2 linked regions of the Xenopus tropicalis genome follow. The protein of the gene in region 1 interacts with the protein of each later gene in a pairwise test. Links are inferred from orthologs where the notes say so. Each region holds a gene or a part of one and is shown on either strand. Other genes may lie near its edges.

Region 1 (15,864 bases):
TTTTTCCTTGATTTCTGACCAAAATCTAGGGTTGTATCTGGTTTTTCCTTGATTTCTGACCAAAGCGCTGACTTCTGCAAGGGACTGCGGCCACAATTTTTCATGTAGAAAGAGGAGAGTGGCGTCTCTGAATAGCTGAAGGTGTGCACTTTTCAGAAATATATAGTTTGCGGGGGTTATTTCACAGGTATGGGGGTGTTTAGACTAAATAACTGCAGGTAGAGCACATAGAGCACAGCCCCCCCTTATGCATTGCCCCTGTTTGGGGGCATTTGGTGGCCACGTCTTTATGTGTACCCATACATATGGGGTATCGTTTTATTCAGGGGAACTTGCAGATTGAGGTTTAGTAAGTTTTTGGTAGTTGCCATGGAGATTTTGGGGAGAAATCTAGGTTTTTATCTGGTTTTTCCTTGATTTCTGACCAAAATCTAGGGTTGTATCTGTTTTTTCCTTGATTTCTGACCAAAGCGCTGACTTCTGCAAGGGACTGCGGCCACAATTTTCCATGTAGAAAGAGAAGAGTGGTGTCTCTGAATAGCTGAAGGTGTGCACTTTTCGGAAATATATAGATTGTGGGGGTTATCTCACAGGTAGGGGTGGTTAACACTGAAAAACTGCAGGTAGTGCACATAGAGCGCAGCCCCCAAAATTTCAACTGAAATTGCCCTTATGCATTGCCCCTGTTTTGGGGCATTTGGTGGCCACGTCTTTACGTGCACCCATACATATGGGGTATCGTTTTATTCAGGGGAACTTGCAAATTGAGGTTTAGTAAGTTTTTGGTAGTTGCCATGGAGATTTTGGGGAGAAATCTAGGTTTTTTTATCTGGTTTTTCCTTGATTTCTGACCAAAGCGCTGACTTCTGCAAGGGACTGCGGCCACAATTTTTCATGTAGAAAGAGGAGAGTGGCGTCTCTGAATAGCTGAAGGTGTGCACTTTTCAGAAATATATAGTTTGCGGGGGTTATTTCACAGGTATGGGGGTGTTTAGACTAAATAACTGCAGGTAGAGCACATAGAGCACAGCCCCCCCTTATGCATTGCCCCGGTTTGGGGGCATTTGGTGGCCACGTCTTTATGTGTACCCATACATATGGGGTATCGTTTTATTCAGGGGAACTTGCAGATTGAGGTTTAGTAAGTTTTTGGTAGTTGCCATGGAGATTTTGGGGAGAAATCTAGGTTTGTATCTGGTTTTTCCTTGATTTCTGACCAAAGCGCTGACTTCTGCAAGGCACTGCGGCCACAATTTTCCATGTAGAAAGAGGAGAGTGGCGTCTCTGAATAGCTGAAGGTGTGCACTTTTCAGAAATATATAGTTTGCGGGGGTTATTTCACAGGTATGGGGGTGTTTAGACTAAATAACTGCAGGTAGAGCACATAGAGCACAGCCCCCCCTTATGCATTGCCCCTGTTTGGGGGCATTTGGTGGCCACGTCTTTATGTGTACCCATACATATGGGGTATCGTTTTATTCAGGGGAACTTGCAGATTGAGGTTTAGTAAGTTTTTGGTAGTTGCCATGGAGATTTTGGGGAGAAATCTAGGTTTTTATCTGGTTTTTCCTTGATTTCTGACCAAAATCTAGGGTTGTATCTGGTTTTTCCTTGATTTCTGACCAAAGCGCTGCCTTCTGCAAGGCACTGCGGCCACAATTTTCCATGTAGAAAGAGGAGAGTGGCGTCTCTGAATAGCTGAAGGTGTGCACTTTTCAGAAATATATAGTTTGTGGGGGTTATTTCACAGGTATGGGGGTGTTTAGACTAAATAACTGCAGATAGAGCACAGCCCCCCCTTATGCATTGCCCCTGTTTGGGGGCATTTGGTGGCCACGTCTTTATGTGCACCCATACATATGGGGTATCGTTTTATTCAGGGGAACTTGCAGATTGATGGTTAGTAAGTTTTTGGTAGTTGCCATGGAGATTTTGGGGAGAAATCTAGGTTTGTATCTAGTTTTTCCTTGATTTCTGACCAAAGCGCTAACTTCTGCAAGGGACTGCGGCCACAATTTTCCATGTAGAAAGAGAAGAGTGGTGTCTCTGAATAGCTGAAGGTGTGCACTTTTCGGAAATATATAGATTGTGGGGGTTATCTCACAGGTAGGGGGGGTTAACACTGAAAAACTGCAGGTAGTGCACATAGAGCGCAGCCCCCAAAATTTCAACTGAAATTGCCCTTATGCATTGCCCCTGTTTTGGGGCATTTGGTGGCCACGTCTTTATGTGCACCCATACATATGGGGTATCGTTTTATTCAGGGGAACTTGCAGATTGATGTTTAGTAAGTTTTTGGTAGTTGCCATGGAGATTTTGGGGAGAAATCTAGGTTTTTATCTGGTTTTTCCTTGATTTCTGACCAAAGCGCTGACTTCTGCAAGGGACTGCGGCCACAATTGTCCATGTAGAAAGAGAAGAGTGGTGTCTCTGAATAGCTGAAGGTGTGCACTTTTCGGAAATATATAGATTGTGGGGGTTATCTCACAGGTAGGGGGGGTTAACACTGAAAAACTGCAGGTAGTGCACATAGAGCGCAGCCCCCAAAATTTCAACTGAAATTGCCCTTATGCATTGCCCCTGTTTTGGGGCATTTGGTGGCCACGTCTTTATGTGCACCCATACATATGGGGTATCGTTTTATTCAGGGGAACTTGCAGATTGAGGTTTAGTAAGTTTTTGGTAGTTGCCATGGAGATTTTGGGGAGAAATCCTAGGTTTTTATCTGGTTTTTCCTTGATTTCTGACCAAAATCTAGGGTTGTATCTGGTTTTTCCTTGATTTCTGACCAAAGCGCTGACTTCTGCAAGGGACTGCGGCCACAATTTTCCATGTAGAAAGAGAAGAATAGTGTCTCTGAATAGCTGAAGGTGTGCACTTTTCGTAAATATATAGATTGTGGGGGTTATCTCACAGGTAGGGGGGGTTATCACTGAAAAACTGCAGGTAGTGCACCTAGAGCGCAGCCTCCAAAATTTCAACTGAAATTGCCCTTATGCATTGCCCCTGTTTTGGGGCATTTGGTGGCCACGTCTTTATGTGCACCCATACATATGGGGTATCGTTTTATTCAGGGGAACTTGCAGATTGATGGTTAGTAAGTTTTTGGTAGTTGCCATGGAGATTTTGGGGAGAAATCTAGGTTTGTATCTAGTTTTTCCTTGATTTCTGACCAAAGCGCTAACTTCTGCAAGGGACTGCGGCCACAATTTTCCATGTAGAAAGAGAAGAGTGGTGTCTCTGAATAGCTGAAGGTGTGCACTTTTCGGAAATATATAGATTGTGGGGGTTATCTCACAGGTAGGGGGGGTTATCAATGAAAAACTGCAGGTAGTGCACATAGAGCGCAGCCCCCAAAATTTCAACAGAAATTGCCCTTATGCATTGCCCCTGTTTTGGGGCATTTGGTGGCCACGTCTTTATGTGCACCCATACATATGGGGTATCGTTTTATTCAGGGGAACTTGCAGATCGATGTTTAGTAAGTTTTTGGTAGTTGCCATGGAGATTTTGGGGAGAAATCTAGGTTTTTTATCTGGTTTTTCCTTGATTTCTGACAAAAGCGCTTACTTCTGCAAGGGACTGCGGCCACAATTTTCCATGTAGAAAGAGAAGAGTGGTGTCTCTGAATAGCTGAAGGTGTGCACTTTTCATAAATATATAGTTTGTGGGGGTTATTTCACAGGTAGTGGGGGTTAACACTGAAAAACTGCAGGAAGTGCACATAGAGCGCAGCCCCCACATTTTTAGCTGTAATTGCCCTTGTGCATTGCCCCTGCTTTGGAGTGTTTGGTGCCCATGTCTTTATGTGCACCCATACATATGGGGCATCATTTTATTCAGGAGAAGTTTGTCTTTCAAATATGCCTTTGTTAGAAAATTTTTATGAGATTTTTTTTTGTCAAATCCACATTTGATCATGCGTCCAAGTTTACGTTTTAGAAAAAAAAAAAAAAGTCATAAAAAGTTCCAAATTTCACAATGCACTGACAAAAGGTATTTGGCTTTTGAGTGAAAACTACATTGCACCTAGAAACCTGAAGGTCTGTAGTTTCTAAAGATACCAAACATGAGGGGATATTTTAGATTTACATATAAGTTATGCTGCATTAACTGTTACAAGCGCTTTTCTGCTTTGTTCTGGTGTGATATTGTACTAAGTATTGCTTTAGTTTGGGGGTTACTTCTGGACAGGAACTGTGGGGTACCACCACATATTTGGTATCGTTGGAATTGGGAGTATCAGGGCTTTTACAAACAATAAAAAAAAGTGAGTAAAATTAACTTTTCTATGGAAAAAAACCTCAAAATATACAGAAATTTTTCATAATTTTATTTTTTTTTTACATATTTCACCCAAAATACACATCATATCTCCAGAAAAGTTATAAAATTTGGTATGTATGTCGAAGCCCAATTAGTGACGAAAAAAACGATATATAATTTCCCTAGTTTCGTGGAGGTTTTCCTACCAAAAAACATTGTTAAAGTGAATGAGTACAAAATGCTTAAAAAACGTCTGGCACTGGGGGGAACCGAAATGACGAATTCGGCTGGCACTTAAAGGGTTAAAGGGCATGTCAACACCAAAAATAATGTTTTGCATAATGAAAGAAAACATAATTCTAAGAAACTTTCCAATATGAAATAATTAAAAATTTATAGTGCTTTAAACGTTATTTGTAAATGTAATTGCTATTGAAAGCAGCATTTGCTGAACTCCTGGTTGTTACATTTTAAACAATGTTGCAAAGGTCTTGCTTCTCCACCAATACAGGTCTGTCAGTCTGCTGCCTTGTGTTACAATGTTTCAACAGTCTGAACCACCAGGGCAGAGAATAGAAAAGGACAGGCAAGCACTGCTTCTAATAGCAATTATAAATACAAATAATTCAAAAACCATTAGAAACTTGTAATAAATGTATTTTGCAAAGCTGCTTAAAATTTTGGTTTCTTTTATTAGGCAAAAAATTATATTTTGAGTTGCCTTGTCCTTTAAGAGGGGCTTGGATGAGTTCTTGAACAAGCATAATATCCAAGGCTATTGCGATACTAAAATCTACAGTTAGTATTGATATTGGTAAATATGGTTTGTGTATGTGAGTGTATATATAGATCAGTATATATCTGTGTGTGTGCTGGGTTCACTTGGAAGGGTTGAACTTGATGGGAACTCTGGTCTTTTTTCAAACCTATGTAACCATGTAACATGTCTAGAGGGGCTTGGCTGCCATGGAGATGACTAGACACATCCTTAGCCAAGTTAATGAGGAGTCATCCTAATTCTAAATATTATTACACAATACCAGTTCAGCAAAGTACAATGATTTATTACCATTTGGGGTGACATTGTGAGGCTTCCAAATGTTAAGAGGCCTGTCTAGATTTTCCACCAAGCAGGCCAAAATGTAAGCAATTACTTTACAATATTATTACAACACAGAATTCACATAAACAAGATCCTCCCTGGCCTCCGAACTATTACTTTGTAGAAGACCTTCAGAACCATAAAGCTGTCCATACATGTGTCAATATTGTACAAAACAAAGCTTTATAATGTTATTTGTACATGTATGTTGTCTGCCACCTTACCAGACCAATATTCATAGTACATAATGCCTGATTCAGACATTCAACAGCTAATGCACTATGTTGGCCAGTTCATAGCCTATGAGTATGTGTCTACTGAGGAACTTACTCAGAGGCTATGAGTACGCGCTCCAATAGGCATGAAACAGGATAGGCCATTTTCTGATGTCCCACATAAACAAATTTCTATTTTTAATTCGTTTTTTTTTGGGGGGGGGGGGAATCCCACATTAAATTTATTTTTACAGCATAGAGGCTAATCGCATACCATACATATAGGACTTTCCTTTTTCTCTAACACACACACTACAGAAACTGCTCACCTGTGCAGTGTAAATTTGTGTGTTCGTCTGCAAAGGAACAATATGAGTTAAATGACCCAAGTCTCCTCTATGGGGATTGTTTCCATGGAAACACACATTAATGATGAACACAGATAAAAACACCTGTGTTCCCATGTGGTGTATTGCACAAAATAACTGCCCCATAGAAGCTCAGCTTAAAACACTGGTAGGAACCTTAAAAAAAAAAAAAAAAGAGAGGCAATACAAATTGCATGGCTACTTAAAAGATATAAGGATGAAAACAAAAGTGGGTTACAGCATAAGTTTAAAGCTGGCCATACACGTGGCGATCTCACGATGTTTCGTACGACCGTCGGTCGCACGAAACATCGTCAGATCCGCCACACACCATTCAGGGCTGAATCGGCAGGTAAGGAGGTAGAAACAATAGGATTTCTACCTCCTTCTGCCGATTCAGCTCTGAAGGGAGAATTTTGGTCAGGCGCCTTCTATGGCGCCCGATCAAAATTTTCTAACCTGGCCGATCGGCGAGTCGACCGATATCAGCAGCTTCCTGCGATATCGGTCGGCTCGCTGACATGCCATACACGCACCGATTATCGTACGAAACGAGGTTTCGTACGATAATATCGGTGCGTGTATGGCCACCTTAAGACTACACAAATCAAACATTGCTTAGTTCAAAACTAAATTCAATACCTTACTAAAAATAATGAAAGAAATTGCTGAGGGATCTGTAGAATTCTATCAGTAACTGTATAACTTAGATCAAAGCCCAAGAACAAAAACCAATGAAAAGAAAAACTGCAATTAAGTCAGCAAACAAAAACGATATGCTAACAACTGCTGAATAACTAGATAGGAAATACATCACATTAAAATTATATCTTATGTCCAGATGTATAACCTGACAGTTATTATAAAACACAATAGTCTCTCCACATGTATTAGAAATATATTATACTATAGTTTATATAATATTTCAACCCAAATTCAAGTGGATCATAGAAAACAGTAGTGTCACAAGATTGTGTTAGTAAGCTAGCTCCCAAATTCATTGGCTATATATTTAAACCATTATCCAAGCTAATGCGCACTAACCAGGTTAGCTTTTTACCTAGACAAAACAACATAAATATGAAAGGGGAGGTCTACCACAAAACTGCGCTTATTTGCATTCAATAGAAAAATCTAGTTTACCATAAACTGTTTGCAGATCATAAAAAAAAAAAAAAAAATTTTTTTTTTTTGCACAATAGCAATCTTTTATCTATCTAACGCAATGATCTCCAATCAAAGACTCACCGACTCATTGGATGTTCTACAAATGACCTAAAAGCAGATACTTTTAGGCCACTGGGCTTATTATACTGTATATTCCTGGCTTGCAAAAACAAACAAAATAAAAGTGTAGTGCCAAATACAGCCTCCAATAGGCTGCCAGTATACAGAGGGACTACCAATAACCAATCAAAGACGTTATTTTGCAACCCCAAAACTTTTTGCATGCTTGTGCTGCTCTACTATGATTTTGACATTTGAATGTGTCTTGCAACCTATCTGCTGTAGCAGCGACCTTTATTTGGGTTTATTTACCAGTGCTAGGCGACTTTGCCCCCAAGGCAAACAGTCAAATTCTTATTTTCACAGCTCTTCCTTCATTTGGTATAACAAACGTAATCAACAGCTTGTTGCTATTGGTCACTGCCTCGGTGTGAATTTGCCCAATGCAGGTAAACATGTTTGTTTGATACTGCATCTTCTGTGTCATGCGTTGCTGTAAGGTAGCAACCTTTTCACATGAACAGGTATAGGATCCCTTATCTGGAAATCTGTTCTCTGAATTACATTAAGCCTGTCCCCCATAGATTCCATTTTAATCAAATAATTCAGAATTGTGAAACTCATTTCCTTTTTCTCTGTAGTAATAAAACAGTATCTTGTGCTTGATCCCTACTAAGATATAAATAATCCTTACTGGATGCAAAACAACCCTATTGGGTTTAATTAATATTTTATTGATTTTTTAGACTTAAGGTATGGAGATCCAAGTTAAGGAAAGACCCCTTATCCGGAATACCCTGGGCCCTGAGCATTCTGGATAAGGGTTCCTATACCATTACTTGCTTGCTTTTATGTTTCTTGGCTATTAATAACATCAGCAAATATAAAAAATGCAACCCTATAACCTTTTATCTGCTCCTTTTAAACAGGGACAGTTATAAAAAGAAAGTGTATAGATACCCCCTATAAATATAGATACAGCTAATTTCTATTTAGGTTCCCAAGAAAATAAAAATATATGTACCCAAAAATTAGCCACTGGCAACAACATTTATACTACCGACATGAATGGACCCACACTGAACTCTGACTCTCCACATGACATTTTCTAGGAATAAATAACTCCTGTATTTCATTTTAACTCACGTTGCTATTACTTTTGACCTCAGTTAGTTAACTTCATACCATAGCTAAACCCGAATAATCTTATAGTACCAATTCATTTATTGCTTATAAAACACCGAGGCGAGCAGCAGCAGCCACGTTCTAAATCCGCCAACAAAAGCGGGCACTAAGCTACACAAGGCGCCTTGGGAACCAAGTCACGAGTAATTTTCTGCTATTAACCTCGCCCCTTCGCTAGGAACCGTTATACGCGCCTCCTCCCACTTGTCCCAGTTCACACGAGGCTGTTCTAGCCTTACTGAACTTGGCGCATTTCCTACAGTCCACTCCCTCTTCTCGGAATATCCTACCGCCATCTTCCCCTGACGCCATAATGCGGCCAGTGGTCCCTAGCCGCACCCATTGCCCAGACTCCCTTGTTGTGCGTAGTCCTCACGTGAAGGCGCTGATTTTGACCACGCCTTTACAACGCTGGCCTCTCTTTATTGGCTCGGATAGCTTAGTGACCCGCCCATTGCGCTCTAGACCGCGCCTTTTTTTACTTTGCTAGAATAGAAAGATATTGTTGTATACGCTATACACTAGCCCCGCCCATTCGCGGGCCCCTCCCCTCCCGGTAATTGCTAGACTTATCTCCTGAGGTTAGTGCTTTGCTGTGTCACGCTGAGTTTGAAGAAGTCGGCCGTCGCCACTGTCCAAAATGGTTCGACACGTTGAAAGTTTGGTAAGCAATTAATTGTATCATGAACGTTGTAAGTTGCTTGACTGAGAAAGATGCTTGGAAAGTACAGGCTTCTTATTTTCCTTTAGCATGAGGGGAAACGGGGACAGAGGAGCTAGTGCATCCTTATTCAGCATGGCTGGCAAATGCAAACAGCATGAGCAACACATTCCGTTTGAATTCTACTAACCCAAAAATAACATTCATTCAGATGTTCCTATTCGTTTATATTCGGATTATTAAAGTTGTGGTAGGTAGGGGAAGAGTGGCTGCTACAGCACTTAAAGGAACCCTCATCCTAAATTAATTACTGACCCAATGTAAAATAGCTAGGTAACTAGTAGTCTACGTATATTACCCATTTCAAAATGGTTTTTTTTGCACTTTGGGTGGCTAAATACAAAGAACATACTAACCAAAGCAAAAGTAGGTTCAAAGTTTGCTTTAGGGCTTCTGACCCTCCCCAAGCTATTAAATGTTTCCTTTCATTATTCAAACTGCAGTAGACCTATGCATGCTATCTGCTGACTGGTTGCTATGGGTATTCTACCTGGGGCAAACTTTGCACTATTGCAGCATTTTCTGTTAACTAGTTAAGGCTTTCCGACACACATTAATTTGACTTCTTTCTAAAAGACTAATATTAACACTGCTCCAGATCAGGGTCCTCAGAACAAGTGTTTTGAATGAGTACACCAGCGCTGACCTTCCTAACAAGAAATACAGCTTGGGTGATAATGCCAGTCAGTATGTAAGAGGTTAATCAGCTGACCCAGGACAGGATGAGATTGCATTTTGATGTTGATTCAAGCAGAATCAACATCAACACTGTTAGGCCAGTTTGTAATCCAATATCTAAATCTTCAAGGGTTCACTTTTAACCTGCATTTGGTTTAATTGCTACCGAGTAGCACACTATCTAGAAGAAGACTTAAAAATTGCATACTCCCATGCATTCTCAACATACCCTACTAAAAGAAATAAAAGAAAATGTTGTATAATTGAAACTGAGTAGGTTATGTTGCTCAAAATTCATCCTGTTTAATATTTTCTGGTTTAGGCCTCATGGAGATAAAAAGGGTACTTTCAGATGTGACTGGCTCAGGTTGGGTGAACTAGTTGGATTAGAATTTCACCTCTATTAAGATAAGAATGGATGCAAGAAAGAATGATTTTAAGAACACACTTCAGTTTTTCCATAGAATTTTCATAGATGTTAATTTGTTGGGATCATTTTCCACAGTTAAGTTGAACTGCTTGACAGATTTGCTTCTCAAATAATGCTAACATTCCTGAGCCTCATTCATGGTTATTGGAAACCAGAAGACTCGCTTAAAGCGCTTGTTCACCTTTGGGTTAACTTTTAGTATGATATAGAGAGTAATATTCTGAAACAATTTACGATTGGTCTTCTTCTATTTTTTTTTTGTAGTTTTTTTTAGATATTTCAGTTCAGGAGCTTTCCAGTTTGAATTTTCAGCAGTTATTTGGTTGCTAGGGTCCAAGTTACCTTAGCAACCAGGGAGTGGTGTGGATAAGTGACTGAAGTATGAATAGGAGAGGGCCTGAATAGAAAAGAAAGTTACAAAGAGTAACGATAAAACTGTCACCTCACAGAGCAATCGGGGTTTTTTTGGCTGCTGGGGTCAGTGACCCCCATTTGAAAACTGCAAAGAGCTGGAAGAAGGTTGCAAATAATAATAATAAAAAAAAAAAAAACTATAACAAATAAATAATGAAGACGATTGAAAATTTGCTTAGAATAGGTAATTCTATAACATACTAAAATTTAGCTTTAATGGGCAACTGTCTATTAAAGATGACATATAGTGAAAAAGTAATAAGTATTTGCCGTGGTATTATACACCAAAAATAGAAGAAAAACTCATTTAAAACTTTTGTGCACTGTTTTAATAAAAACTGATTTAAGAATTGTTTATGCTGCCAAGCCTTTCAGCATCTCTTGGGCACTTTCCCAGGCTGTTGAGCAATGGCAGCCCTTTGCCTTAAAGGATGCCAGCCAGCCTTTATCTTGCGCACCGCCACTGCAGTTTGATGTAGTTGTCAGAGAGCTGCCATGAAAGGGTGTGGTTTGCTAATAAATGGGAGGGGATTGGGTATCTAGTGGATATATTGGCATGGGCAGTTTTGACTTACTGGGCAGCTGTACAGTCATCGCTGATTTGTAACTGGGGAAGATTTATGGGAAGCTCCAGTAAAGGTACAAGTTTGATTGTAATTATTACACTACATAGGCTTCATATATTTATCATGGGTTTTGTGATGAGGGTGCTTTTGCCAGATGAGATAGCTATATATATATATATATATATATATATATAGCTATTTATTTTAAATAAATATTTGTGTAATTGTTTATTTCTCCCTAGCTTTCTCTTTGGGTACTGAGTGCTTTTGTACTTTTAGGGCACTCGTACAGGGTGATTCTCCATTAGAGAAACACTCCAAATTGGCATTTAAGCAAATCCATTTAAGTGAATTGCACTCTGTTCTTTTAAATGGATAATCACTCAGAAATACAGCAGTGAATATTTCTGAATGATCATCATCTGGTCCATGAGAGCACTGTGCAGAACCAGATGATTTCCATTCGGGTTACCAGAGGGGCAATTGGTAGCCCCTGCTTTGTGTCGGGTTTCCTGGACACATCCATTCATAAATTTACTAACATTGTTTGCATGTTTATTAAACAGTCAAAGTAATAATCACTTTCATTTATTTTCCCTCATGGGTATTTTCTTACAAGGTGTTTGTCAAGCACCAAGGGCGTTGTCTCTGTTAGCATCACTAGATCCCAGATGCAGAAGCTTCATCTGATGGCAGCAGTGTGTAAGATATTGTGTGAGGAATGCCTCCTTCAGATACATTTGACTAATAAGACCACTTTATATTTTCTCAGTCATACTTACTTGTTCCTAGCACAGATCATAGTCTTATTCTAAAAATTTAGCAGCAGTCTTTAAATACTCAGGTGCTTTGTTTAGCTTATTATACAGCAGTACTTCTTATAAAGCACCTGTTTTTTTGCACTTTTTTGACCAGTTGTGGTTCTCGTTCCAAGCTGTTTTTTTTCTCCATCAGAAACATATTAAAGAGGACATATTGTGCGAAAACAATATTTATGCCAATGAATTGTGCTCATCTAAATTATAGAAGGAGTGTGCTTTTAAAAGTAATGTTATGGCTCATTTTTTCCCCACCACTGGTCCTTCCCACCTGGTCCACTTTCTTCTGTTTTCTTTTCCCAAACACTGAGGGGGGAGTGGCACTGAGCCAGTCGCCCGGTAATCTGACCTTATCCATTACTGATGCCTGTCTCTGCTTGTGTGACAGCGGGGCTGTGAAGAATGGCTATCCCCTTCCTATTGTGCTTAGGACACGCCCACCCCTCATTTGAAACATGGACAGGTACCTGAGAGGATCTATAGGGAGCTCCTGTAAAGGGGCCATTTTTACAGATAGTATTCATTTTTAGATCAAAGTGAAACCAGCACCATATATTATTTATAATTGCCTACAAAATTAAAGTTTTTTTTTTTATCCTAAATATGCAAGACATGTGAAAAAAGCTGAAAATATCAGTTTGATTGTAAGAGTAAACAAAACAAAAAAACCTTTCCATTTGATTCCATTAGTGGATTATCCAAGTAAAATTCAGACCAATAAAATAAATTGCTAGCAGCACAGCTAGTTTATTCAATATACTGCCGCATGTAGTAGGCAGTGTCAATTGTAGGTGCCTTCTTGGGTTTCCTCTGGGTACTCCAGTTTCCTCCCACACTCCAAATACATACAGTCAGGTTAATTAGCATCTAATGAAATTAACCCGAGTGTGTGTAAATACGATAGGCACCTTAGACTGTGAGCTCCCCTGTGATGAACAGCTAGATCAGCAAGCTTGCCCATTCATGTGTGTGGTCATATTGCAAAACCTCATTCAGAATGAGCGGCTGGTGCATCCACCATTTATTTTTGGAAATTCATACACACCTGTTATCCAGAAAGCTTTATATTAATGAAAGTGCATTTTGCAGATAATTCTAATTTTTCAAACAATTTATTTTTTTCTCTGTAATAATAACAGTATCTTGTACTTGATCGTGACAAAGCTACAGGAATCCATATTGGTAGAAGAAGAAAAAAAATCCTATTGGGTTGGCTTTATCCAGGGCTGTGGAGTCGGTAGATAAATTCTCCGACTCCTCAGTTTCTGATACTTCCGACTCCTCTGTTTTTAATATGCTAATGTATTTTATACATTCATTGAAGGAAAGGAAGGAGACATACATGTCATTTAACCACAGAACCTACTGGCTAGGATGCCAACACTCGACTGTATTGCCCAATTAAAGCACGTATACAAGTATTTCTAGTCCTGCAAATTTTCTTTACTTAATTAGTTATCAGTGAGAGTTAGGCTAGGTTCACAGTGGGCATTTTGTTCCCTGTAACAGAGGAACACGACGCAGTGGAGCTGCTGCACCTTAACTGTGCGTTACGTCCCATTTAGTGAAGCAAACAGTCAATGAAAAGCATGCTTCATGGTCACTCAACGGGTTCGTTTATGCACGGCGTGCATTGGGCTTTATTCTTATAGCAGAGAAGTAATTTATTATGACTGTTTGTGAATTCGGACATTTAAACTTGCTTTGTTAATTTTTTTATTCCCATTTAAATTTAGTCGGAGTCGGTTCATTTTTTTCCGACTCCAGGTACCCAAAATTGCCTCCGACTCCCTGGGTTTATCTACTGTTTAAATGATTTTTAGACTTATTGGGGAATGTAATATAGGTTGCTAATGGCATAAATGTTCACAAACAAATATTCCTATTACAAACAATTTTGCCTTTGCACAAATACAATATTTCTTTTGATTACCCTTTGCCGCACATGCAACAGAGGATAGAGATTGTGAATTGTTTTAGCTTACGCCAGTGTGCAGTATATGTAATATAATGTGTTATGTCTTAGTTACGCCATCTTAAACATTTGCAATTTTGCAATTAAAATTCACAATGCAATCAAAAATGAAATATATAACATCGCAAAATGCAAATTATTTTTATTTATGAGCAGTTTTTTTCCGTTTGCGACTTTTATTTTATTCCTCCCCTTAAAGTATAGTGATCCAAATTAAGGATAAAGTTCTGATCCGGAAATCCAAACGTTCTGGATAATAGATTCTATACATGTACTAAAAGATTTAGTAGCATAAAAAGATACTTTACAAAATTCAGTCCTATTTTTAGATATACAATGGCAAAAACTTGTTCTTGTCATAACATATTTTCTGAGTTGCCTGAGTGCAAAGAACAGTTCTGTCATTCGTAGTTCTGCGCAGTAATACTAAGCAATTCCTGAACAGAACTGCACCAACAGTGAAATGCTGGTTGTGTTTTTTTACCTGTCTGGAGGGGAGGATTCTATCCACACAGGACAGCAAGGTACACTGGCTGGGGGTGAATTAAATTTGCATGGAACTGCTGAACATGAAAGCATGTAATGAATCGATACAGTTGGGCAAGTGTCTGGATTAATTATTACAGATCTTTTAGGTCTTCCATGTTTGTTGCCTGCTTTATTAAATATTAAACACAGCCTTGTGCTCTCTGCCAGTGTAATTTGAGATTTTTTCTAGTCATAGTTTTTTTTAGTATGAAACCTGATATTGATTTCCTGTATACTGCCATTTAGATCCTTGCCTTGGTGTACTTACTGGATGGTGGCATAGCGATCTCTTCTTGTTACCTTTCACCTGCATTCCAAGGGCTGGGAACTTAGAAGAATGTATAGCATTCTATATAAAGGCCATAAAGTTTCTTACAGTTCTGTACCTTCTGACTGATTTTTTGCTGCAACAAATGTAGGAGCTGCGGCAGCACTTTACCTCCTAATTTACTGATGTACTGTGCACCTGCTGACATGGTGAAGATGATACTTTCAAAAATGTTCAGTCATCTATCTATTGAAACGTCCTCCTGCCAGCGAACTTGTGTCCAGATGGTCAGGTAGTATAGTACAGGTATGGGATCCCTTATCCGGAAACCAGTTATCCAGAAAGTTCTGAATTACAGAAAGACCATCTCCCATAGACTTCATTATAAGCAAATAATTTTAATTTTTAAAAATTATTTCCTTTTTCTCTGTAATAATAAAACTGTACCTTGTACTTGATCCCAACTAAGATATAATTAATCCTTATTGGAGGCAAAACAATCCTATTGGGTTTATTCAATATTTGAATGATATTTAGCAGGCTTGTGTTATGGAGGTCCAAATTATGGAAAGACCCTTAAATGGGAAAACCCCAGGTCCCGAACATTCTGGATAACCGGTCCCATACCTGTACAGCATTGGCTAAACTGACTGTCAAAATGTCTGCATTGTATGGCCAGCTGGCTTTACCTTGTAAGTACCATTAAGCCTGCAAGTGGGTATCAGGTCAGCCTAGCTGCTGGTTCCTATCCTTCAGTGCAATGTGCAGAGTTCTGCCTACACCCCATCTGCTACTAGGAAAAGGAGGTAGCAGGGAGTGGAACAGATGGACGGGACGGGGAGAATTATTTTTTTTTATAAATCAACCTGAAATACTACTATTTTTTAGTAAAGCCCTATATTTAGAGGAGTAAAATGCACTGGCACTTTTTTTTTTTCACTCTGTATGTCTCATTTTATTATCTTTATATTCAGGCCCTTTCCTATTCATTTTCTAGTCTCTTATTCAATTCACTGCCTGTTTGCAAGGTTAATATGAACCCTAGCAACCAGATAACTGAACAAAAAAAGACTTTAATTGTAAATTCTCAGAATATCACAGTC
Region 2 (15,885 bases), about 76 Mb from region 1:
AACATGGTGATTTGCATCGGAAAATTGGACTTTGCCTACTGTACCTGGGAAAGTAAATGCCTCTTAATGTGTCACATTTCTAATGGATTGCAATGTCCGCTTTAATAAAAGGGGCCAAACACGGGCCAATAAAAGCTGGGATGTACTGAGTCGGCATCTTATCGGCCTGTGTATGGGGCCCAGTGACAGATGAGTCTGTCAGACTGATATCTGACCAAAAATCATCCAGATGTCGAGCATCTGGGTCTGACTGGGGGTTGCAGGGACAACCATCGCAGTGGCCCCACACCCCCCCCAAGGGGCTACCGCCTTGGCCCCCACACAAGTCATGCACTGAATCCAGGATTTGGTTTGGTATTCGCCCACGATTCGGCTTTCTTCAGCTGGATTCGGATTCGGCCAAATCCATAGTCCTGGCCAAACCAAATCCAAAAACTCACATGACTTTTTGTCATGTTAACACAGAAGTGGAAATTTTCATCCCTTCAGATTCGGTTTGGTATTCAGCCAAATCCCTGACAGTGGATTCGGGGGTTCGGCCGAACCCGAAAACCTGGATTCGGTGCATCCCTACCCCAAACCCCCCCCCCTAAGGGGCCCTGTCATCTGGCCCCCACGCCCCCTAAGGGGCCTGCGCTGCCACCCAACTCCCTCTCCCGAGCGCAACTGCTTTAGTCTTATCTTAAGCATGATGGGGGAGGCAGATCTTCAGGAGGGGGAGCACCACGGGGATCAGGTCTGGGCCAGCACGGCCCACTAGGGCCCACCGGGTTTTTTCCCAGTGCCTGGCCAACTCAGTCTGACCCTGGTTTGGCCTGAGGGATGAACACTCAAACCAATCTGATATTATTCACTTCAGGGTGGGCATATCGAGAAAATATCAGCCTGAAAATGGCAGCCTGAACAAATAAGAGGATCCTTTAGTGTATGACCATCTTCCTGAACAACACAATTTAAGAAATGACAATTTTTTTTTAAGAAATATTATTTATTTAGAAATGTTTGTAAAAAGCAAAGTAAGAGGGTGCTACACACCCCTGATAATGAATTGGAAACAAAATATTAGGTGCTGCAATCTGTGAGTAGAGCATGATGGGAGTAGAGCATGATGGGAGTAGAGTATGATGGGAGTAGAGCAGGATGGGAGTAGAGCAGGATGGGAGTAGAGCAGGATGGGAGTAGAGCATGATGGGAGTAGAGCAGGATGGGAGTAGAGCATGATGGGAGTAGAGCAGGATGGGAGTAGAGCATGATGGGAGTAGAGCAGCTTCAGTGCAGACAAGGGACAGACTAAGAGGCAGCATTCACTTTACTGTCAGTGAAATGTCATTGATGAATCGTATGTAAATGGAGGCTATATTTAGTTTAGGTGCCTTGGAGTTGCTTGTTATTATCTTTCCACTGTATCTAGGTCAGCCCTTTGGAGGACTTTCAAGGTTAGAGTGTAAGTGTAAAATTAGCTGAAAGTTTTTCTTATATTGGAAGAGGAAACATTATGGCTGTCAGGGCTTGCATTTTAGAAGGTAAACAGGGTGGCGGATGGCTCCTCATCCATATACACAATATTGGTATTTAGTATAATTAATAAATAGCCACATAGATCAGTGGAGGAGCTGAGACAGGGAAATATATTCCCAAAGCACATGGTGGGATATCAACAACTAAATATGATTTCTGTGGTTTCTGCTCAGGCTTCAATACTTAATGCGTAATAATAGAGAAAGTCCTTCTAAACAACTTCCAAATATTCATTCATTAAAAATGTTCAGTGATTTTAAAGCTATGTGTAGTGGCAAATGCCATTGTAAATAGTATCTGTCTGTGCCTAGCTATTCTCAGCACTGGCGGTTCTGACTTGTGAAACAGGGTAACAGAAGGCAGTTGACCAGTCTTGTCTGCACAGAAGCTAAATTATGCAACATTGTTGTAACAGTCGGAACAAGGAGTGCAGACAGGGGCAGATAAACACTGCTTTTAGTTACATTTACAGATAAGGGGTGGTTCACCTTTACATTAACTTTTAGCTATAGAATGTCCTATTACCAGAAACTTTTCATTTAATATTCATTATTTCCTATTGTTTTCGTTTGCCTTTTTCTTCCGTATGAAAAAGCTTTTAAATAGGAGTCACTGCCCCCCCCCCCAGCCAAATTACTATTTCTCTGTGAGGCTTCAGTTTTATTGTTATTCATGTTTATTGCTTATCTTCCTGCTTAATCAGTCTCCTATTCAGATTCCAGTCTTTCACTCAAACCACTGCTTGGTTGCTAGGGTAAATAAGACCCTGGAAACCAGATAACTGCTGAAATGCCAAACTGTAGAACTGCTGAACAAATAACTGAAAAACCACAAGTAATAAAAAGAAGACCAATTGCAAATAGTCTCCTAATATCAGTGTCTACAGTTAGTAATACTTCATTTAAAATGGTTTTTCACCTTTGTATTAACTTTTTGTATGTTATTTGTGGTTTTTGAATGATTTAGCTTTATATTCAGCAACTCTCCAGTCTTGAATTTAGCGGCTATATGGTTTCTAGGTTCCAAATGACCCTAGCAACCAATCAGTGGTTTGAATGAGAAACTGGAAAATGAATAGGAGTGGGTCTGAATAGAAAGATGAGTAATACAAAAAGTAACAATAATGAAAGTGTAGCCTCAAAGAGCAACAGTATTTTGGCTGAGGGGGTCAGTGACCCCTTTTGGAAAGTTGGAAAGAGTCAAAAGAGAGAAGCAAATAATTTAAAAACTATTAAAACAACTGAAACCTGACCATTCTATAAAATACCAAAAGTTAACTTAAAGGTGAACTACCCATTTTAAAATCATTTGATGTCTGGATGTGTATTGGAAAGTTGTTTAGAATTACAAGTTCTTTCATTAGGCTGAATGTTCTGTTTGGGTTTACATCCCCTTTAGGTTTGGCTCCCTTAGCCAATAGAATTCAGATGGCTGTACCTGGATCAGACAAACCATTGTAGCCACACGGGAGCAGCGCTTTTGGAACAGGCAAACAGCGATTGTGTCAATGATGGGAAGCAAATAAAGGTGTCTGCCCTGTGTTCCTTTGCTCTGTACACACATTCCGGGGTGGAGGAGGAGGAGGAGGCAGGATCCCCTGATAGTGAATGAGAAGAGATGAATGAAGTCACGTTGCTTTGCGATGACAAGCCAGGTTTAGCCTTGCGACTGATGTGACTAATCGCTGCAGATGAACACATTTGCTTTGCGATGTTACAGAGCAGGTGCGGCGGGGCCAGACACCCGTGTTATTGCACTGACCTTGCGGCGGCGGCTGGAATGTTAGTGGCACTAGTGCTGTTAGCAACATGTTACTAGTACTCTGGCCCCTAGCAACCTGCCCACACATAGGGAACCTCTCAGCAGCACCAAGGCGCATTCCCCCCTTACAAACCCCACACAGGCACCTAGGCTTTTATAGGGAGAGAGGTCCCAGGATAAGCAGCTAGCCAGCCCGCAGTTAGTTAGCCAGCCCGCAGTTAGTTAGCCAGCCCGCAGTTAGTTAGCCAGCCCGCAGTTAGTTAGCCAGCCCGCAGTTAGTTAGCCAGCCCGCATTTAGTTAGCCAGTCCGCATTTAGCCAGCCCGCAGTTAGTTAGCCAGCCCGCAGTTAGTTAGCCAGCCCGCAGTTAGTTAGCCAGCCCCCATTTAGTTAGCCTGCCCACAGTTAGTTAGCCAGCCCGCAGTTAGTTAGCCTGCCCACAGTTAGTTAGCCCGCCCACAGTTAGTTAGCCAGCCCGCAGTTAGTTAGCCAGCCCGCAGTTAGTTAGCCCACCCACAGTTAGTTAGCCAGCCCGCAGTTAGTTAGCCTGCCCACAGTTAGTTAGCCTGCCCACAGTTAGTTAGCCCACCCACAGTTAGTTAGCCAGCCCGCAATTAGTTAGCCAGTCTGGAGTTAGTTAGCCAGCCCACAGTTAGTTAGCCAGCCCACAGTTAGTTAGCCAGCCCGCAGTTAGTTAGCCCGCAGTTCACAGTTAGTTAGCCAGCCCACAGTTAGTTAGCCAGTCCGGAGTTAGTTAGCTAGCCCACAGTTAGTCAGCCCGCAGTTAGTTAGCCTGCCCGCAGTTAGTTAGCCAGCCTACAGTTAGTTAGCCAGCCCACCGTTAGCTAGCCAGCCCGCAGGTAGTTAGCTAGCCCACAGTTAGTTAGCCAGCCCGCAGTAAGTTAGCAGCCCGCAGATAGCCAGCAGTTAGTTAGCTAGCCCACAGTTAGTTAGCCAGCCCGCAGTAAGTTAGCCAGCCCGCAGTTAGCCAGCCGGCAGTTAGTTAGCCAGCCCGCAGTTGTTAGTTAGCCAGCCCGCAGTTAGCCAGCCCTAGCAGGATTTATACCAAAGGGATAGTGATAAGAAGCCATTCCTCTCCCCGCACTGCCCTGCCAATGACCTCAACCCTGACCCGCAGAGGCCCCTCTCCCATGGGCTGAGAGGCAATGCCGTCTGCCGACCCCTTAATGATGTGTGTGTGCGAGTTTTATGATGTGCCACCGGGCTACTGTCCGCTGGGGCCGAGCACACGCCACAAATTCTCATTTCATAGGAGACAGATTTGAGGAACATGGGTGAAAGGGCAGCGCTTTTTGGCCATAAGTCAGCACAGGCTTAGCCCGTTACTTGTGAATGGAAGGAGAACAGGAAGGCAGTGTGTGAAACGTTCCAGAGCTGTGACCCCTGTTCCTTCCTAACCGCAAATGGGCGATAAAGCCCCAGCCGCCCAGCTCCCTAGCCCTGATCATTGCCCAACGCACTGACTCACCGGCTCTTCTCTCTCACTGTTTGGATTCTCCAGCCCCGGATTAATGGAGATTACACAAACCAGAAACAAACAGAATGATTTTGAAATGAGGACGTAGGAGCAAAAGGAACTATGAATTAAGTTAGGAATTGCCTCATTTGGCTCTCACCATAAGGATGCTGTGCTATTAATTAAAGATGTCGTCTGCCATTAGAGGGCACTAAACAACCTTGTATTTATCCTGGAAATAGTAGGGGTGGAGAAAGTTAAAGGGAAGGGGGAAAAAGGCTTTGTGAAGTGAGCAAAATGCCCCAGATGTAGAAAGGGCGACAATAGGGGGATGTTGCAGGGTCAATCATTTACCAGTGCGCTTTAATGTGTGCCTGCAGGTGGTGCCCCAGCCCCTTTGTACTCGCCCCACAGAGCAGCCTAATGAGCAGCCTGGGCCGGCCTGAGGGGCCCAAACAACTGTCTGCTAATATTAGCACGCCTGTATTTCTGGATCTATTATAGTCCTCCCAGACAGATCCCATTGTAATGGGATCTTTTATTAAAAGATTAGTACTATCTCCTGCAGTTGCTGGAAAAAAATCTGTTATCGCCGAGTTATTTGCAGTCAAAGTCTGTGGCAATACAAATCCAAGCGACCTGCCAGTATCCAGGAATGCAGTCTGCATAGTTCTCTGTCTGTTGTCCTCTGGGCTCTGGAGGCAAAAAGAATAGAAAATGTAGAGGGACAGAGAGAGGGAGAGAGAGAAAAGAGGCAGCTTTTGAATCAACAATACCATTTTCCGTGAAGTAATGGTTCTGTATAAAAGGAAATATCGCCTACTCAGTTTCATTCAGCTGTGCCAAAAATGTTAGAAATGAGTGGCCGCCAACTTGCAGCGGAGGATGCCAGACTGCGCTTAATAAACTGGCCCTATAGAAGTTCATTATCGATGGGGCAATCTCTGGGGCTATGAAAGGAGACCGCCTACGTCGTCCCATTCCTGTCTGATACTCCAGACACTGCCACTTGAAAAGACTGTCACTTGGGGGGGGGCAAATTTAGGTATTAAACTTGTATTTGTCCCTGAAGACTCCCAGAGAGCTGGATGTGGGAGCAGACACTTAACTACTGTTTCAGGTTCTGGGAGTTATATTTTAAAAGGCACTTTAAGAGTTTGAGTGGGAGGTGGGTGGGGGGCAAGTCCTAACCCCCCCTCTTTAGACAGTGCGCCCCGATGTTGCCCGGTCTTTGCTCAGAAGGTGCCCAGGGGGAGCCAGAGTGGGTAGGTCCTGCCCAACAAGGCTGAGTCTGGGAGAGGTCACGTCATTGTCCTGTGCGCACCCAGCAGCACCTATAGCAGCGCTTCCCACTCACATGCCCCACTCCTATAGCAGCGCTTCCCACTCACATGCCCCACTCCTATAGCAGCGCTTCCCACTCACATGCCCCACTCCTATAGCAGCGCTTCCCACTCACATGCCCCACTCCTATAGCAGCGCTTCCCACTCACATGCCCCACTCCTATAGCAGCGCTTCCCACTCACATGCCCCACTCCTATAGCAGCGCTTCCCACTCACATGCCCCACTCCCTGCTGCTGCCTCTGCTGCTGCACAAGTAGCCACACTGCTGCTCCATTTCCCCACCAGCTGCTGGACAAGTTTCACTCTCTCTCTGCTTGGGACTCAGCAAACACTCCTTGCTACATTCTCTCTAGGATCTACCTACCCACTGTTCATTGGAAAAGGTTTCCAGAAGGTGGAAAATGTCACCTGATTCACTCTGAATTTTTCTTTTTACCCCACCCCCAAACACACACACACATTAGGAGACCGCCCACCGCAGACAGCTAAGACCCCCTTATAGATTTAAAGAGAGACTGCATTAGAGGCTGCTGTTCATTCAATAGAGCGATCATAAGCAGAGTCCGGAGTTGTGCCTGGTCCATTATCCCATCTCTCCACTTGAGACTCTGCTGCTTCTCCACTCTCTGCACTGAGGATGTTAAATGAAAGGATCCAGCCGGGCATGATTTTCCTCCTGACTGTCTCTCTGTGCCATTTCATGGAACATCGCGCAGTCCAAGGTAAGAACCTGAAGGACTTGATCACTCTTTTTGGATTTTCTTTCATTTTTTTTGGTATTAGGGCAGACAGTAGGAGAGGCAAGTTAGGCTGGTGACTTAGATCAGACTTCACTTTTACATATCTGCAATATCAAGATGGTAGTTCTGGATTTTAAGGGCTACAGTCAACTTGGCTTCCAGATTTATTAATGTGTATATAAATGTATCGGCAGAGAGTGCTACTTTACTATCAGTGGTTACAGTTATGTAACGAATCTAGTGACTTATTAGGGACTTGCGAGGATGTCGGTATTTGTTTCGTACTACTCTAGTTGTACTCCAGCTGGTGGGACAGAAGTTGTGGTGGCAAGTCATTGGCTGCCAGCCCCCTACTATACGTAGCAGAGGCGCAGTCGGACCCAGCGGTGCGCAGAATTTCTTCCAACTGACGCAATCTGCCTTGTGCTAATTGCTGCCTACTTGCAGTGTTAGTTGGCGCAATTCCAAATGGAACTAGTTGTAGTGAGTTGTTTAGAACTATTGCTGTTCAGCTTATCCTTTCTCTTAACTTTAAAAAAGGGGTAACATAGCGTGGGATTGGGGAGAAAACACGTTTCGAAATGGATTAGTGTTGCATGTAGATGTTCTGAATGTGCCTGGATTGCAACATGAGGTTGGATCGCAGGCTTGACAACTGACGCACTTGATACTGTAATATTTCAATAAAGCAGGGGTTTTATGGGCTCGTTATCTCAACATCTGGATGGGAGGCTGTTCAACAGCGCGGCCAATTAACCCTTTGTGTAGCCTGGGTGGATATCTATAGAGTGGAAGCCCTGAAGGGGTTAACCGTGCAAGTGTGAGCGGTTTGGCTGGGGAGAGACTGCTGTTACTAGTGCAGGTTATGAAAGAGGCCGAATAAAAGTAAACAGTCTAGTGGAAGTGAGCGCAGAGCACACGTGTTGTGTCTGGGTCACTGCTAAGTGACACTGATATGGCTGGGCCGCTGTCTCTTACAGCTGGGAATTGCTGGCTGCAGCAGTCGAAGAACGGCCGATGTCAGGTTCTCTACAGGACTGAGCTGAGCAAGGAGGAATGCTGCAAGACTGGCAGGCTGGGTACCTCATGGACTGAAGAGGATGTACCCAACAGCACCCTCTTCAAATGGATGATATTTCATGGAGGGGCCCCTCACTGCGTCCCCTGCAAAGGTACTTTACTTGACAATTTTTACTACCATCTCCTCGTTTTGAAAATGAAAGGGTTAAATTCCTACATCTCTGTAAGCAAAGAAGTCGAGAGAAGTTTTTTTTTTTTTTAGTACTTTAACATACAGTCTCTACTGACACGTTGTAGGAATACATGATTTAACCATCCCTGTGTATGCTTGATGCGACCTGTGCTTCCATGAAACCATGAAGCTGCCATATGTATTTATATACCCGCATACTTGACATATTTTGAACTGCTTTTGGCATTATTTTTGTATAGGGGGACGCAGCCACACAGTCCATATGTGTGTATGTGTGTATGTGTGTGTGCAAGAATAATCTCACCCAGCTCAGACTTTAGGATACTGTGCTAGCAGATTCTGGCCACCTACACTTGCTTATTATGTGTTATTTTTCACGGAGGGATTTATTAAAGTGAAGGGGACATCTGCACTCAATTTTGAGTTCGCTTTCTGGAGGAACTTTTGTTCTCTCTCCATAGATACTGCATGCTGTTTTAGCTATTAGGCACAGAGGGGAAATACTTTTCTTGTACTAGTAAGTTCCCAGTGTCAGGAGCTTGTATGAATCTGGCATATCTATCTATCATCTATCTATTTATCATCTATATTAGATACCATAACACCCCAGATGATCTTTATGTAATGGCACAGGCACATTAGTCCCTGAAAGTCTAGACATGCTGCTGAGATATGGGGCTATTTATCACATTCCTAGTAATACTATTTCTTGAGTACTTTGCCCACTGGCTAATTAAACCTGTTGCACTTACAGAAACATGTGAGAACGTAGACTGTGGCCCTGGGAAGAAATGTAAAATGAACAAGAAGAACAAGCCGAGGTGTGTCTGCGCTCCGGATTGTTCCAACATTACTTGGAAAGGTTCCGTGTGCGGAATAGATGGCAAAACCTATAAGGATGAGTGCGCTTTGCTCAAAGCCAAATGTAAAGGGGTCCCGGAGCTGGATGTGCAGTACCAAGGAAAATGCAAAAGTAGGTTAAACAAGTGGGGGGAGTTAGGGATCTGTGGGCTGGGAGGGACAGCCACATTAGATTGCTGTGATGTTACCTGAACCTCATGGGTGGGCAGCATGGAAAAGAAAGCTCTCATTGGGTGGCTTTTAGTAGCCTGAGAAGCTTTTTTGGTGCGCATTGGCTTGGGAGTTGCAAAACTTTATGTGATATAATACGGGTCCCATAAAGTACATAGTATATGGAGTAAATAAGAGCAATTTATTATGACCTTACGCTTAGCTGTGCCCCAGTAGTGCTGTAAGTCCATCTGTCATTCATTGCGCCTTTATACTGATCGATGTGCGCCCTTGCGCTTCTTTCTCTTTCAGAAACTTGCAGGGACGTGCTGTGCCCAGGGAGCTCCACTTGTGTGGTGGATCAGACCAATAACGCCTACTGTGTGACATGTAATCGGATTTGCCCGGAGCCTGTCTCCCCTGACCAATATCTGTGTGGGAATGATGGAATAACCTATGCCAGTGCCTGCCACCTGAGGAAGGCTACCTGCCTGCTGGGCAGATCCATTGGATTAGCCTACGAGGGGAAATGCATAAGTAAGTGTGGTGTCTGATTTACCCAGCGACAAATCCATTCTGAGTAGCATTCTTTCCCAAGTGCCTTGAGGAGAAGACACTCAGTATGGGGCAAGAGAAGCAACATGTGATTAGGGTTGGTGCAAGAGGATTTCTGCCAATTTGGAGCCTGGTACATGGCAAGTTTCCCGGAGTGTTCCTGGTGTGTGTGTGCACTTTCACTCCCTCATTGGCCTTACATCCCACACTAGCTAAGGAATGAGAGAGGATCGCAGCGACACCTGCCTTGTGCCTGCAGAGCACGCAGCGACACTGCCTTTGGTCCCAGCAGAACCGTTTTACCTGTTTTACATTCATTTAATTATGGCATTTTTTTTATTTTGCAAGAGGAAATGATTTTGATCCATACCTGGCTGATTTTACTGTGGTCTCTAGATTTCTGTTTTCCTTGCCTGCCACTCCTGCAGTACATTTAAGACGAACAATATAAAATATCCATGTTTCTCTCCTGTCCATTGGAGATGTATAACATTATTGGCATCTGGGTTGTATCTGCTGGAGATAAAAATGCAGATAAATGCAGTATAGTGGCTGTTGGCACCTTTTTATCTGCTCTGTGTTTTATGGAGCCCATTTTCACTCTAGCTGGTGGTCCATGTGTGGGTATGGCAGATACCTGCACCCTGTATATGCTAATGGTAACATTGTCTGTGGTGTATATATTCATATTGTAAATATGTGAGCTGTCAGGTGGTGTTCTGACGCTATATGCGCCCTCCCAGGTGGTGGGTGTCAGTAGAAGGTTATTTGCTCACCTATGGTGCATACTTTGGTACGGCAGATACTGTCAATCATCAGATGTTCCTTCGGATATCTGCGCCATTACTATTTTGCTTTCGTCAGTATGCTAGATATTAGCGCCCTACCAATCTGTTTGAGTAAATCTGATTGCATCCTTAACTATGGTAAATCTGTCATTCTAGTAAGGATTTGCTCCCTGCCATTGGTGTAGGTTATTATTATTATGAAGGCTATTTTACCCTTGCCTATTCTGTATGTAACATGGTCATGGTTTATCTGTTATCATGAAGACTATATATTCTCATCCCTGTTGTATCTGAAAATATGACGGCGACTCACCAATAAACCAGTTGTATATGATCTTTACACACTCATCCCTGGTGTTACTTAAAAGGCTAGTAGATGTGATGTATGCTAGTCATTTCTACATTCACCTGTTCCTAGGGGCTAATTCACTATTACCCATGTATACATTAATCTGCGGTGTGTGTTAGTACAAGAGCTAAATGAAATCTAAGTAATTACAGGGAACAACCAGGGATTGCGAGTTTCCTTTCCAGATATAACTCCCTTGCCAAATGTTATAAGTCTGTGCGTTTTACGATTTTAGTTGCTGTTTTGGCATTTGTATTTCTTGCTTTGTCATGCCCCAGTGAGACTAAAGAGAGATCACTGACTGATAAGTTTATTTGTTAAAAGCCCTGGCTCTTCTCCCTTTCAGAGGCCAAGTCTTGCGAAGATATTCAGTGCAGCGCTGGAAAGAAATGCCTGTGGGACAGTAGAGTGGGTAGAGGTCGCTGTGCGCTGTGCGATGATGTGTGCGGAGCAGAGAGCAAGTCAGACGATACAGTGTGCGCCAGCGATAACACTACCTACCCCAGCGAGTGCGCAATGAAACAGGCAGCCTGCTCCACGGGGGTTCTTTTGGAAGTCAAACACAGTGGATCTTGCAACTGTAAGTGAATCACTGCAACACAGAGTAAGATTTCTAAAGGCAACCCCTCAGTAATGAAGACTCTTTAAAGCAAAATACTTTTTTGTTGTTTCTAAGGGAATGTGAGCATTATTTGGCGGTATATGTACACCCTTCCAGTGACATGACTTAAGCTGCCTGCAAGATTTCGGCACTTTTGCAGGAAAAGCCAAGGCTATTTACAAGGGGGTTGCCTGAGAATATCTTTCCCTCTATTTTTCTAATTTGCTTCTATGTGCTTCGCTGATTGCTTCATTAACGCTTTGAGTGACCTAACTCCATCCAAGTACCAGTAGTAGCTTTGGGTTCTGTCCCCGGACAGAGGCCTCTACTAACTCTGAGGACACAAGCAGTACACCTAGAACACGAGCGCTTTTTGTCTGATTACAGGAATCTGCAATAACAGCCTGATCCATTGGTTCTTCAGAACTTTCCGCTGTTAAGACTTCATAGATTATGTAAAAACAAACAAAAAAAAAAAGTATTATTTATCAGGTGATGCCAAACAGCATCCCCTGCGAGTCACATACAATGCAACGCTGTATTATGGCTGGTCAGAGGGCTTTGAGAAACATGCACTGAGCTTCTGCGCTGTTGTTGTCCTTTTTTAAACAACAGCTCCCCTATATTCCCCCATATAGCCATTGTTGAAGATACAGAGGAGGAAGAGGAGGAAGAGGAACAGGACTACAGTTTTGTCATATCTTCATGGTAACAGCTCCCAAAACTGTTGGAACAGCCTCTGGGCAAGAACACATGTCCATACTGTAAATAGGTGTATGCTTATTTATTTTGGGAAAGAAAAAAACAAAGTATACATATAGTTGAGTCTGGTAGACATTTATTTATACTGTCATGTTTTATAATTTATACATAAAATGTCTGTTTTGACTGTACACCTTGTTTTGAAGAAATATATTCGTCAAAGGAAGAGCAGTGTTATTTATTGTGAAATATCTTCGCTTGTAAAGTCCAGCTTTTCTTGTAAGTCCATTCCTTAGAGGTGATTGACGGTACTGTCCACTCTGCTCAGCGAACCCCTTGAGTAACGGAGGAATGCGCTGTGCCAAGAGCGTCCGTGGCGCATAGCGCATCACGATAGCGCGAATGGGGTTCGGCGCTTTTCTTTCCATGAACCCTGCATGTCAGTTTCTAAATGTTTATTTATTGGATTCTCTCCTTTAGTTCTGTACATACATCCTTCGGGTTTTGTTTACAAGGAATCTTGACTGACCAAAAGAGGCTGCAGCATAACGTGAAAACAAAAAAGATGAAAAAAATACAAATATATATATATATCTATATATATAGAAATATATATATAGATATATATTTAAAAAAAAAAAAAAGGTTGAAGTGGCTGTGTTTCAGGAAATGTCCTAGTTTCCATTATTCTAACATACTGGATGGTTAAATCCCAAAGATTCTTTGGTTCCAAACGTGTTGATCCTTCCCACCTATTAGATACAAATACCAATCATTTCCATCATGCCAATTCAGACTTATTTGTGTATTTCGACGTTTTATCAGTTCAAGTTTCTTGCGTTTTCATAATACATTTTTTTTTTCTGATTTCAATTTTATATTTTCAAACATGGCAAGTTAAATATAAATTCATTTAAATATATAGTTTTGTACTTTTTTACCATGTAAATGTGTAATGTATATAAAAGTTATAATGTGTATTTGTAAATAAATTATGGGTGAACAATAAAATAAATGAAATTTGCTTTATGCCTTTCTCTGATGTGTTTTGTAACGAGGTGCTGCCGAACAAACAGAAGGATGCTTAATGAAGGCACTCATGTTCTACTGATTAATGGCAAATAACACGTTGAGTTCATAGGATGAAAGTACAGTATATGCCCTGGCACTTTATACCGAAACTGCCCAATGTTTGCTTAGTATACAGATCAAGTCCATTTGCTATTTCCTTCCAGCATCTCTCAGGAGACGCGAACCCCCATCCCTCATGCTCCCTGTCTGGCACTCTTCGTTTTTCCCAGCCTTATCTAGTTATCACAACAAGCAGCTCTTCAGAAGTGAGAAACACAAACATCACAACTATATCTAATTACTCTCCAAAAATTAAGAGCGAAACTCAATGAATAAGCATTAAGCAAATCAAAGCTTTAAAGAAATACCATTTCAAAGACGATTTCTTATTGCAAGATATCAGCCTTGTTGCTTGTATCTCCCCAGTGAATTTTAGATATTTAGAATTATAGCTTTTATGCACTGACCCCTTTTTTGTGTGTATGCGTTTTTTTGTGCATTTAAGATGCCCAGTTGTACCCATGGGCAATTTAGATCTGCATTTCAGCAAAGCTGCCCTTCATTGTGCATGTTGAGCATTAAGATTATATTTAAACTGATAAAATGCATTTTACACTGCAAGTGGCAGATTTGGTCTGAAATTAGAGCTTACTACAGAAAAACTCACCCACTTTCTATTCATTCCTATGGGATTTTTAGAAACACATTTGCTAATGGGTGAACGTTAATTTGATAATTGTGCTTCTAAAAATTCCATAGGAATAGATAGAGAGTAGGTAAGTTTTGCTGTAGTGGGTTCTAAATCAAACTTTGATTAATCTGCCCTTTATTTTTAGTTTTTAGTTGAAAGGTCTGTATAGGCATGTGTATATAAGTGCACTGGGGTTGGTTTGAAGAGGTTAAACTACAGATTAACTAGATGTAACACCACAATTTAACTTTTGTTCCAAAGTTGTATCTTTTTTAGGCATTCTAAGGCATAGGAATCCCTTAAAGAGATAATACCAGAAAATAAACCTTTTTTAACATATATCATAATAGGATCTCTTTGGAATTTTTTTCTTAAGGGCTGTGATATATGGGGAGATTAGTCGCGTTAGAATGTAAATAGCTGGTGGGATGGCATACGCGGCAGCGTGATTTGCAGAAGTCGCAGAAGTTTCCTCTCAAGGCAACTTCGGCAAATCGTGCCGCCGTGTATTCCATCCCACCGGCGATTTACATTCTAGCCAGTAGGATGGCATTTCGGGGAGATTAGTCGCCTGCGACAAGGGAGATTTGTTGTGGCGCGACTAATCTCCCTGTGTGTCACAGCCGTTAAAGTATTTGCCTGATGCTTTTACATTTCCTATCTGATCCCCATGTTCCTCTATAAGGGGGCTGCCATATTTGTACAGCAGGAGTCCATTAGCATTAGAAGCTATAACTGAGAGAATGAGAAGGGACAGTCAGGTTGGTAAAACAGTCAGGTTTAGGGACTTCAAATAACAATTACTCACAAAAGCAGTACTATCAGCGAAAAATGATCCACATGACCTATAGGGAACTTTTTATGTACATGAATAGTTTCTTTAGTGTCAGTATCACTTTAAACTGGCCCTGAGTCTGCTCTATGGGGACTGTACCCATAAAAGCATGTATAAACCCCTTACTTAGATAATGGCTTACACCATGCATGGTAATACAGGTGTAAGAAGCCATATACAAGGCAATATCTTTTGATGCCTTCAGCATGCATTTCAGATGCACACTCAAATGTCCATGTAAAAGTACGCTAAAGAAGGGCTGCAGATTTGAAAATGGCAGCAGTTATCTGCTGTGTGGTGTTTTAACTTCTCTTGTTGCACTACAATTTTTATCACTCTACAACAGCCTATGGCCAGGCTACTGAGCGTTGTAGTTTAACTGCAGCTGGCCATGCACCGGTTATAGGCCCACTACTCGACACAGAGATCTTTTATCTTTACAGTAAAGCAGATGATCCCTAAATGTAGAGCCGTTAGCTGATACAGAGATATGGTATTGTTACAGAAAATCAGTTGATCCCTCAGTGGGGTTCTTGCCAAAGAAAAATCCTGCTGGAAAGAGCTTTTTAGACAACCTCTGCATTCCTGTAGTGATGGGAGGAGTACAGACTGAAACATACAACCCCCCCAGGAAAGTTGTAAGCATCACCAGATATGGAGTTTCCACACAGTGCCTGATGTGTAACTACAGAGGGAGGCCAACCATCAGGGGATAACAGGATAATGTTTAGAGAGTTACAAAGTTTCACCTACCCCCAGAGGATTAGAGCTTTCCCTTCCAGGAACTGCTGTGTGTTTGCAGAGATCCCACTAAAGCCAATGCAAGAGAGATATGAAATAGTCCAATCGATACCATTTCACACCAAGTAATGTTCTTTAGAGAGTTACAAAGTTTCACCTTCCCCCAGAGGATTAGAGCTTTCCCTTCCAGGAACTGCTGTGCATTTGTAGAGATCCCTCTAAACCCAATGCAAGAGAGTCATGAAATTGGCCGACCCTTTCACACCAAGTGATAACCCACAAGGCTTATTTGTTTAATCATTAGCTTTGTGCAGTAAAGGCAAGTATCAGCTAAGCGTTTACCTACACTGGTCCTGTTAAGTAATCAACATAAAACACCCAATCAATTGCCTATTCTCTTTGTAAGTGTAATGGGGTGTAAACACATCTGATTTCAGTAATGGGGTTGTTTGCACTTAATTACTGGTAATTATCATTATCTGAAAAA

The links.
Region 2: the proteins of uncharacterized protein LOC100170420 (region 1) and fst interact in binary tests that used the Homo sapiens proteins (3 or more experiments, as listed by UniProt). The link is inferred for Xenopus tropicalis from reciprocal best matches to the Homo sapiens genes TXN and FST.

Annotation. Positions count from the first base shown.
Region 1 is NC_030677.2:116,003,791-116,019,654, forward strand, and holds the start of uncharacterized protein LOC100170420, read left to right. Parts: upstream 1-8,965; 5' UTR 8,966-9,003; coding exon 9,004-9,027; intron 9,028-15,864. UniProt on the Homo sapiens protein: Participates in various redox reactions through the reversible oxidation of its active center dithiol to a disulfide and catalyzes dithiol-disulfide exchange reactions.
Region 2 is NC_030677.2:192,421,683-192,437,567, reverse strand, and holds fst (follistatin), read left to right. Parts: upstream 1-6,648; 5' UTR 6,649-6,738; coding exon 6,739-6,823; intron 6,824-7,821; coding exon 7,822-8,013; intron 8,014-8,808; coding exon 8,809-9,027; intron 9,028-9,377; coding exon 9,378-9,602; intron 9,603-11,103; coding exon 11,104-11,345; 3' UTR 11,346-11,745; coding exon of another isoform or gene 11,746-11,747; 3' UTR 11,748-11,973; coding exon of another isoform or gene 11,974-12,070; 3' UTR 12,071-13,084; downstream 13,085-15,885. UniProt on the Homo sapiens protein: Multifunctional regulatory protein whose primary function is to antagonize members of the transforming growth factor beta (TGF-beta) superfamily including activin, myostatin, GDF11 or bone morphogenetic proteins (BMPs).